Linked DNA regions of Oryctolagus cuniculus. The protein of the gene in region 1 interacts with the protein of each later gene in a pairwise test. Links are inferred from orthologs where the notes say so. Each region holds a gene or a part of one and is shown in the gene's direction. Other genes may lie near its edges.

Region 1 (4,303 bases):
TTACATCCACTGGCTCACTCCCCACATGGCCACAATGGCTGGAGCTGTGCCGATCCAAAGCCAGGAGCCAAGAACTTTTCCTGGGTCTCCCACGTGAGTGGTCACATTAGCAGGGAGCTGGATCTCAAGTGGAGCAGCCAGGATTTTAATGAGCAGCTTCACCTGCTTTGCCACAGCGCCGACCCTTACTTTACCTCTGTGCCTTATGTCCCATCTGTAAAACAGTGCTAATGTATCTGCACAGGAGAATAAATAGCAAAATCCTGCTTCCTGCCTTCCTTCCTTCGAAAGGCAAAGTGACCTAGAGGGAGAGACAGAGAAGGGAAAGATTTTTCCATCTGCTGCTTCACTCCCCAAATGCCTGCAACAGCCAGGAACCAGTCAGACCAAAGCCAGGAGCCAGGAACTCTTACCCAGGTCTCAGGGACCCAGCGACCTGGGCTACCTTCTGCTGCCTCCCAGAAGGGCATTAGCAGGAAACTGGGTGGTAAGCGAAGAAGCGGGGACTCAACCTGCACTCACATAGTGGATGCGGGTATCCCAAGCGTCCGCTTAAGCTTCTGTGCCCCAATGCCCGCCCCTAAATAACAATTTTCTTGTGAGGTTCCCGGCGTATAGTTCGCATTCAGGATGAACCTCATGGCGGCAAGGTGTCCTCTATCAATATTCGTTGACTAAACTCAACGGAACTATGGTAAGGTGCCATGTGCATTCCATAAGCCAGCTAGGTGCCAAGTGCCGTGTTAGGAAGGGCTGCAGTGTTCATAGCCCTAATGGGAACATTTATTGTTGGCCTTTAGGGACACAGGTCCTGAGCCCCAAGTCCTTGTGGCTGGACGCATGGGTCACTGGAGTGTTTGTTAAGAATGCAGTGCAACGTCGCCCCCTGTCGGTCGCGGATCGCAGCCCAAGGGCAAACCAACTGCGCTCGCTGGTCCTCAACTTCCTTTCCTTCGCTCTCCGCAAGCCCCGGCCCCCGAGGTTCCCGGCAGCACTTCTCCGCAGCCCCAGTTAAAGGAGCCCCGCCCACCTCGCGGCCGGTAGGGGCGGAGCCTAGGGCGACGCGCTGGCGTCACTTCCTGCGGACCCGGAAGCTCTGTGGTCGGCCGGTTGCGGTAGTTAAGAAGTCGAGATGGAGCCACCCGCGGCGTAAACCTGTAGCCAACTGTGGGCCGAGGGGGCCGGCCGGGGCCGGGCCGATGAGGCCCGGAGGAGCGGAGAGGGCGGAGCAGCTTCGAGGCTAGCGCGGGCGCTCCCAGGCCGGGAGCTCCTGTCGCGCCAGCGTCGCCCCGCCTCCAGGAGCGGACCCGCTCCCGCCCCCCTGGCCTCTGTCCGGCGGCCCCGCCACCCCGCATCCGGGCTTGGACACCTCTGTGGAGCAGCTGTGCGGCCGCGGCGGGACAACCTTTTCCTCGTCGCCTGCTGGCTCCGCCCGCGTAGTCGCGTCGCTCTCCTGGACTGCTGGAACGCTGACGTGGAGCAGCTCGGTCACAGCCCCCATGGAGAAGTTTGGGATGAATTTTGGGGGCGGCCCGAGCAAGAAGGACCTGCTGGAAACCATCGAGTCTCAGAAGAAGCAGCTCCTCCAGTACCAGGCCAGGCTCAAGGACGTGGTCCGCGCCTACAAAAGCTTGCTGAAGGAGAAGGAGGCGCTGGAGGCCAGCATCAAGGTGCTGTCGGTATCCCACGAGGCGGATGTGGGCCTCGCAGGTGTCCAGCCTCCAGGCCTCACCTTCTCTGACTCTGTGGATGACCGGTGCTCCACTCACAGCGAGGATAGCACCGGCACCGCCACCAGCCTGGACACTGCGGCCAGTCTGAGCAGCATCAAGGGTGAGTTTGGGGTAGAAGATGACAGACCGGCCCGCGGACCACCGCCTGCGAAGTCGGAAGAGGCCAGTGGGTCGGAGAGCGGCGTTAGCAGCAGCAGTGGGGATGGGCCGTTTGCAGGTGGGGAGGTGGACAAGAGGTTGCACCAGCTGAAGACTCAGCTGGCTACTTTGACCAGCTCTTTGGCTACAGTCACCCAGGAGAAGTCCCGCATGGAGGCTTCTTACCTGGCCGACAAGAAGAAGATGAAACAGGACCTAGAGGATGCCAATAAGAAGGCGGAAGAGGAGAGGGGCCGCCTGGAGGGAGAATTGAAGGGGCTGCAGGAGCAGATAGCCGAAACCAAAGCCCGGCTGATCACGCAGCAGCATGATAGGGCCCAGGAGCAGAGTGACCATGCCCTGATGCTCCGGGAGCTCCAGAAGCTGCTGCAGGAGGAGAGGACCCAGCGTCAGGACCTGGAGCTTCGGCTGGAAGAGACGCGGGAAGCCCTGGCCGGGCGGGCCTATGCAGCCGAGCAGATGGAAGGCTTCGAACTGCAGACCAAGCAGCTGAGCCGGCAGGTGGAGGAGCTGAAAGGTGAACTGCAGGCCATCCGAGAGGAGAAGAATCGACCGGACCCCCGGCTCCAAGAGCTTCAGGAAGAGGCCGCTCGCCTCAAGAGCCATTTCCAGGCTCAGCTGCAGCAGGAAATGAGAAAGGTAATTATCCTCATCTCCTTCACATATCCGTCATTTCGCTTGAAGTGCGAGATAAGAGGGGTTTTGTTTTTCCCTCCTCCTTTGGTACTTAGAACTAAGTGGCTGCACTGTCATTTTTGCTGCTACTTGAAAAGTTGCACCAGGGAGCCCTGGAAAAGCCTTTCCTGCGGTGGTGTTGACCAGCTCCTGGGAGTGTGCTTGCAACAGGATGTGGAGTTTCCGAGCCTAGGCTGGGTCGGAGCCAGGCCCCTCTGAGCTGCTGGGCGTTGGCACTGTACCAGCTGCTCTCCGAGCTGCCATCGAGCGGCCGCTGTGCAGTGAAAGAGCGAGTGTGTGCCTGTAGCTGTGTACCCATGGGCAGGGTAGCTGAAGGCAGCTAGAGGGATTTTCCCAGAAGAAATAAACCATGGTAATTGCTTTCTGTCAAGGTTTGTCTGTCATGACAGTGTCTGCTGTCCAGGTGGAGGGAGATCCAACTCAGTTTTGTACTTCCAGGAATAGAGAAAGAGAAAAGCAAAGTCCTGTAATTTCATGATAGGGTTCGGGGTGAGGTGACATATGATAGACAGCAAAGCTGGGTGTGAGCTGATAGGAGAAAGTGGAAGCGCTAAAGCAGAGTGACAGCAGGTGTGCAGAGGTGCTTCATATCGTTTGAGATGATATGTATTTGGGGGCAGAACCCAAGCAGGTAGAGGAACTTCTGTTGGATCCTGCATCAACGGAAAAATCCCCAAACGCTCCCCTCGGTCGCCCTCCTCCCCGGACACACGCACACAAAGTTTGCCATGGGGCTTTGTGACTTTTCTGACCGTATTCTGGTCTTGTCTTTGGCAGACAGCCCTTGCGGAAGATCAGCTCCGCCAGCAGTCTCAGGTGGAAGAGCAGAGGGTGGCGTCCCTGGAGAATCAGATATCTGAGGTGTCTGAGCTGCTGGGCACGTACGAGAAGGCAAAGCAGAAGGACCAGCTGGCCATCCAGAAGCTGAAGGAGCGCGTTCTGCAGCTGGACCTGGAGAACAAGACCCTGGCCCTGGCAGCCTCCAGCCGGTCCCCTCTAGACAGCCATGGGGAGGAGTCCAGCCTGGACGTCAACGTCCTCAGGGATAAGATGGAGAAGCTGAAGAGACTGCTGCAGGTGGCCGCCAGGAAGAGCCAGGTGACCCTGGATGTGGAGAAGCTCTGTGACCTGGACACGGTGGGCAGCTCAGACGCCACTGATGGGGAGAAGGCTTCTGCGCTCTACTACCAGCAGGAGCTGAAGCAGCTGAAGGAAGAATTCGAACGGTATAAGATGAGGGCCCAGGTTGTCCTCAAGAGCAAGAATGCCAAAGATGGCAACGTGGCGAAGGAGCTGGAGGCCGCCCAGGAGCAGCTTGCCGAGCTGAAGGAGAAGTACATCTCCCTGCGGCTGTCGTGTGAGGAGCTGGAGCGGCAGCACCAGGGGGAGGCAGAGGCCTGGAAGCAGGAGCTGGCCCGGCTGCAGCAGCTGCACCGGCACGAGCTGGAGCGCAGCCGGCTGGACTTCAGGGACCGCACGCTGAAACTGGAGGAGGAGCTGCACAAGCAGCGGGACCGGGCCCTGGCCGTGCTCGCCGAGAAGGACCTGGAGCTGGAGCAGCTGCGCGCCGTGGCCTTGTCTTCTGGGCTGCCAGGGCGCAGAAGCCCGGTGGGGGCCGGGGCTCCAGGGGACCCGGCCGACCCGTCTGCCCCAGATAGCCTGACCCAAGCACTGCAGCTTGCTGCGGGCAACGAGCCCACGTTCTTCCTGTACGC
Region 2 (3,566 bases), on another chromosome or scaffold:
AATCCAAATGGCCAACAGACACATGAAAAAATGTTCAAGATCACTAGCAATCAGGGAAATGCAAATTAAAACCACAATGAGGTTTCACCTCACCCCAGTTAGAATGGCTCACATTCAGAAATCTACCAACAGTAGATGCTGGCGAGGATGTGGGGAAAAAGGGACACTAACCCACTGTTGGTGGGAATGCAAATTGGTTAAGCCACTATGGAAGTCAGTTTGGAGATTCCTCAGAAACCTGAATATAACCCTACCATTCAACCCAGCCATACCACTCCTTGGAATTTACCCAAAGGAATTTAAATTGGCAAACAAACAAGCTGTCTGCACCCTAATGTTTATTGCAGCTCAATTCACAATAGCTAAGACCTGGAACCAACCCAAATGCCCATCAACAGTAGACTGGATAAAGAAATTATGGGACATGTACTCTATAGAATACTATACAGCAGTCAAAAACAATGAAATCCGGTCATTTGCAACAAGATGGAGGAATCTGTAAAACATCATGCTGAGTGAATTAAGCCAGTCTCAAAGGGACAAATATCATATGTTCTCCCTGATCGGCGACAACTGAGCACCAAAGGGGAAACCTGTTGAAGTGAAATTGACACTATGAGAAACAGTGACCTGATCAGCTCTTCTCCTGACTGTTGATGTACAATGTAATACTTTATCCATTTTAGTATTTTCTCTGTTTTGTTCTAGTGCTATTGGTTGAACTCTGTGATTAACACACAGTTATTCTTAGGTGAAACTTAGATTTTTAAGTACTTTTTCCATAGTTCATGTTCAAGAAAGAAATACAGGCTTGTTTCTGTAGGGAGTAACAGTCTGACCTGTTCTTGTACATTGGACTTGGTTTTATTTTCTCAAAGGGAGCACCAACTGCTAGCAGCAGTTGAGCTAAAGTAAAAATGTTTTCCTACTTAGTTATTCTTTAGTAAATGGATTGAGTAAAATTTTTAGTAGTAATTACCACTGCATTTCCTCATCTGGAATTTGCTCAGACTCAAGACTTAGTTTCTACCATGCCTTTCTCCTCATCTTCCTGTCAGAATTCTTCCTGTATGTTTTTCCATGTCTGATTTTTTTGCTACTTCCATGAATCATCTCCCAAGTCATACCTTGTCTTGCTTTTCAATCAGTTCTGCATTTGACAACAACACTATTTTAATTTTGATGCTGGCTGTATCATAAAACTCTTTACTGGTGTGCATATTGTTGTGTATTTGAGGGTAGAATGTTAAATGGTGTTTACAGATTTTTGAATCTTTAAAATAGTAAACCTAGAATATATTAGTTTTGTTTCAGGTCATTATGGGAGTTATTTTCTAAAAAGGTACTGACTGTAAGAAAATGTTTTCCTAATTGTTAGAAGAAAATGTTTTCCTTTTTTTTTCCCTGCATTTTTATTTGGTGTAGCTGGAGAAACAGAAGACAGAGAAGCAAAAGAAGGAATTAAGAGCCACAAAGAAGACCCCTGAAGAAGAAGGAAGCAGTAGCAACCGTTCTGGAATCACAGGGAACACAAATAAGAAGGATTATACCAAATTGAGACCTGGAGAAAAAAGCAGAAAAAATCTTCAGTTATTGAAGGACATGCAAACCATACAGAGTTCATTACAAAGTGGTGATTTGTGTTGGGATTACTGACTATCAGGTCATAAATTTTATTCGGATAATACGTACCTCCTCAATCAGATGTTGACAATTAATTTTCCAGGTCACATACTATCTGATGTTGAAATTAGTTAATAGCAAGTGTTAAGAGGCTCACGCTTCATACATAGACTGTGTGTGTTTTTTGCAGCCTCACTAAATGTTAACCATTTCCGTGGAAGCCAAGGGAATTTTAAAGTTTGAGAAGCCACACAGACTGTTTCTTTGAGATGAATTTGCTGTACTCTGATACATTGTACTTTGTAAACACATTACCAGTTTTTTACTTGTGGGTGTGATTTTTAAAATTAGTTTTTATATATAAATAAAATTGGGTTTAACTTTTTAAAAACAAGTGGCTGTCTCAAAGGCAGTGTTTGCTTAAAAATTCTCATTTTTTAATCTTTCTCTGACAGAAATTGCCCACTTCCTCTTTCGTCTAGAACCATTAGTATGCTTTAACTATTTGATGACATAGTTCTTATATTTAAATATTTATATATTTAAAAGAATTGTTTTGGTTTGCTTTTGGCACTTCATTTGATCCATTGTGATCAAACATTGATCAATATTAAATTCATTTGTATTGCTTTTTAATTGTTTAAAATTTTTAAAGTGTAGTCAGTTACCTGTAAAAATTAGTAAAAGTCTTATTAATAATATAAACTGTGAATGAAATTTTAGAATAAAGTGACAAATGGGAGAGAGAAAGGAGATGTGAAGCATACTCATATGCTGTGTTTAGTAACTTTGTAATCATGTTATTTAGTCAAGGTATTGTGGTTTTTAACCTTGGAACTTAGAGAATCCCTTGAATATCTGTTTTTTTTTTCATATATAGAGTGCAATATAAACTGTACACACAATTATGTTAATGTAAGTCATAATTTTAAGTAATTTTTAGATTTAACATTTTATAAGATTGCCACTGAAGTCAGTGAAACAGCTTCTTTAAGGAAACAAACTTTCCTTAACAATCTGTTAATCTGTTAATAAAGGCTTCATTTATTGTAAACTTTGAAAAGTGCATGTCTAAATAGGACAGCATCATGTTGACTGAGAAACAGTAAGAATATATAGTATTTATTTGCCATTCTCATGTTTACATGTAAGTTTATCACCAACAAAATTATCTCATCCTTGTATGGTAGGGTATGCTAATGAAAACATTAGCCACCTGTAAAGAAATTCTTAAATGCTTTTGCTGAAGTTTGTTAAGATGAAGTTTTAGGATGACAAGCATGAGCTGTGTGACTTCTTGGGCACTGTAATACTCTTGTTCTATTTTCTAGGGTTAGAGCTGTTAACTTAGCATCCTGATTTGGCAGGATTTGTGAATTTCCTGAAATTACACATAAATTTTGCCTGTGTGTATGATTTTCTGATGAGCAGGTTTGCAGCTTCATCATATCTATAACAGGAGTCCGAAGGTGAGAATCATTACTCTGGTGACCTGGTAAATGTTTCTCCTGTTTTCAGCTGTTAAACTTTTGTCATCTCCTTGTTTGAATTTCAGGTCATTAAATTGTCTAAAAGTCATTTGAATTGTAATGGCTCAAAGTTCTAATTAGAAAAGTAAGTAATTGGTACAAAACACCTCATCTCTCAACTAGAATTAAAACTGAAATAACCATTCTAGCTTTTGATATTTTTTTAAGACTTTATTTGAAAAGTAGTTACAGAGAGAGGGAGAGACATAAAGGTCTTCCATCCACTGGTTCACTCCTCAAATGGCCACAACAACTGGAGCTGAGCCAGTCTGAAGCCAGGCGCCAGGAGCTTCTTCCAGGTCTCCCACGCAGGTTTAGGGGCCTTAAACACTTGGACCATCTGCCACTGCCTTCCCAGGCCATAAGCAGAGAGCTGGATCTGAAGAGGAGCAGCTGGGACACAACTGGTGCCCA

Evidence for each region.
Region 2: the proteins of GCC1 (region 1) and CEP57 interact in binary tests that used the Homo sapiens proteins (3 or more experiments, as listed by UniProt). The two-hybrid records come from large-scale screens. The link is inferred for Oryctolagus cuniculus from reciprocal best matches to the Homo sapiens genes GCC1 and CEP57.

Annotation. Positions count from the first base shown.
Region 1 is NC_091434.1:164,051,307-164,055,609, reverse strand, and holds the start of GCC1 (GRIP and coiled-coil domain-containing protein 1), read left to right. Parts: upstream 1-1,499; coding exon 1,500-2,531; intron 2,532-3,365; coding exon 3,366-4,303. UniProt on the Homo sapiens protein: Probably involved in maintaining Golgi structure.
Region 2 is NC_091432.1:87,262,550-87,266,115, forward strand, and holds part of CEP57 (centrosomal protein of 57 kDa), read left to right. Parts: intron 1-1,425; coding exon 1,426-1,656; 3' UTR 1,657-3,566. UniProt on the Homo sapiens protein: Centrosomal protein which may be required for microtubule attachment to centrosomes. May act by forming ring-like structures around microtubules. Mediates nuclear translocation and mitogenic activity of the internalized growth factor FGF2, but that of FGF1.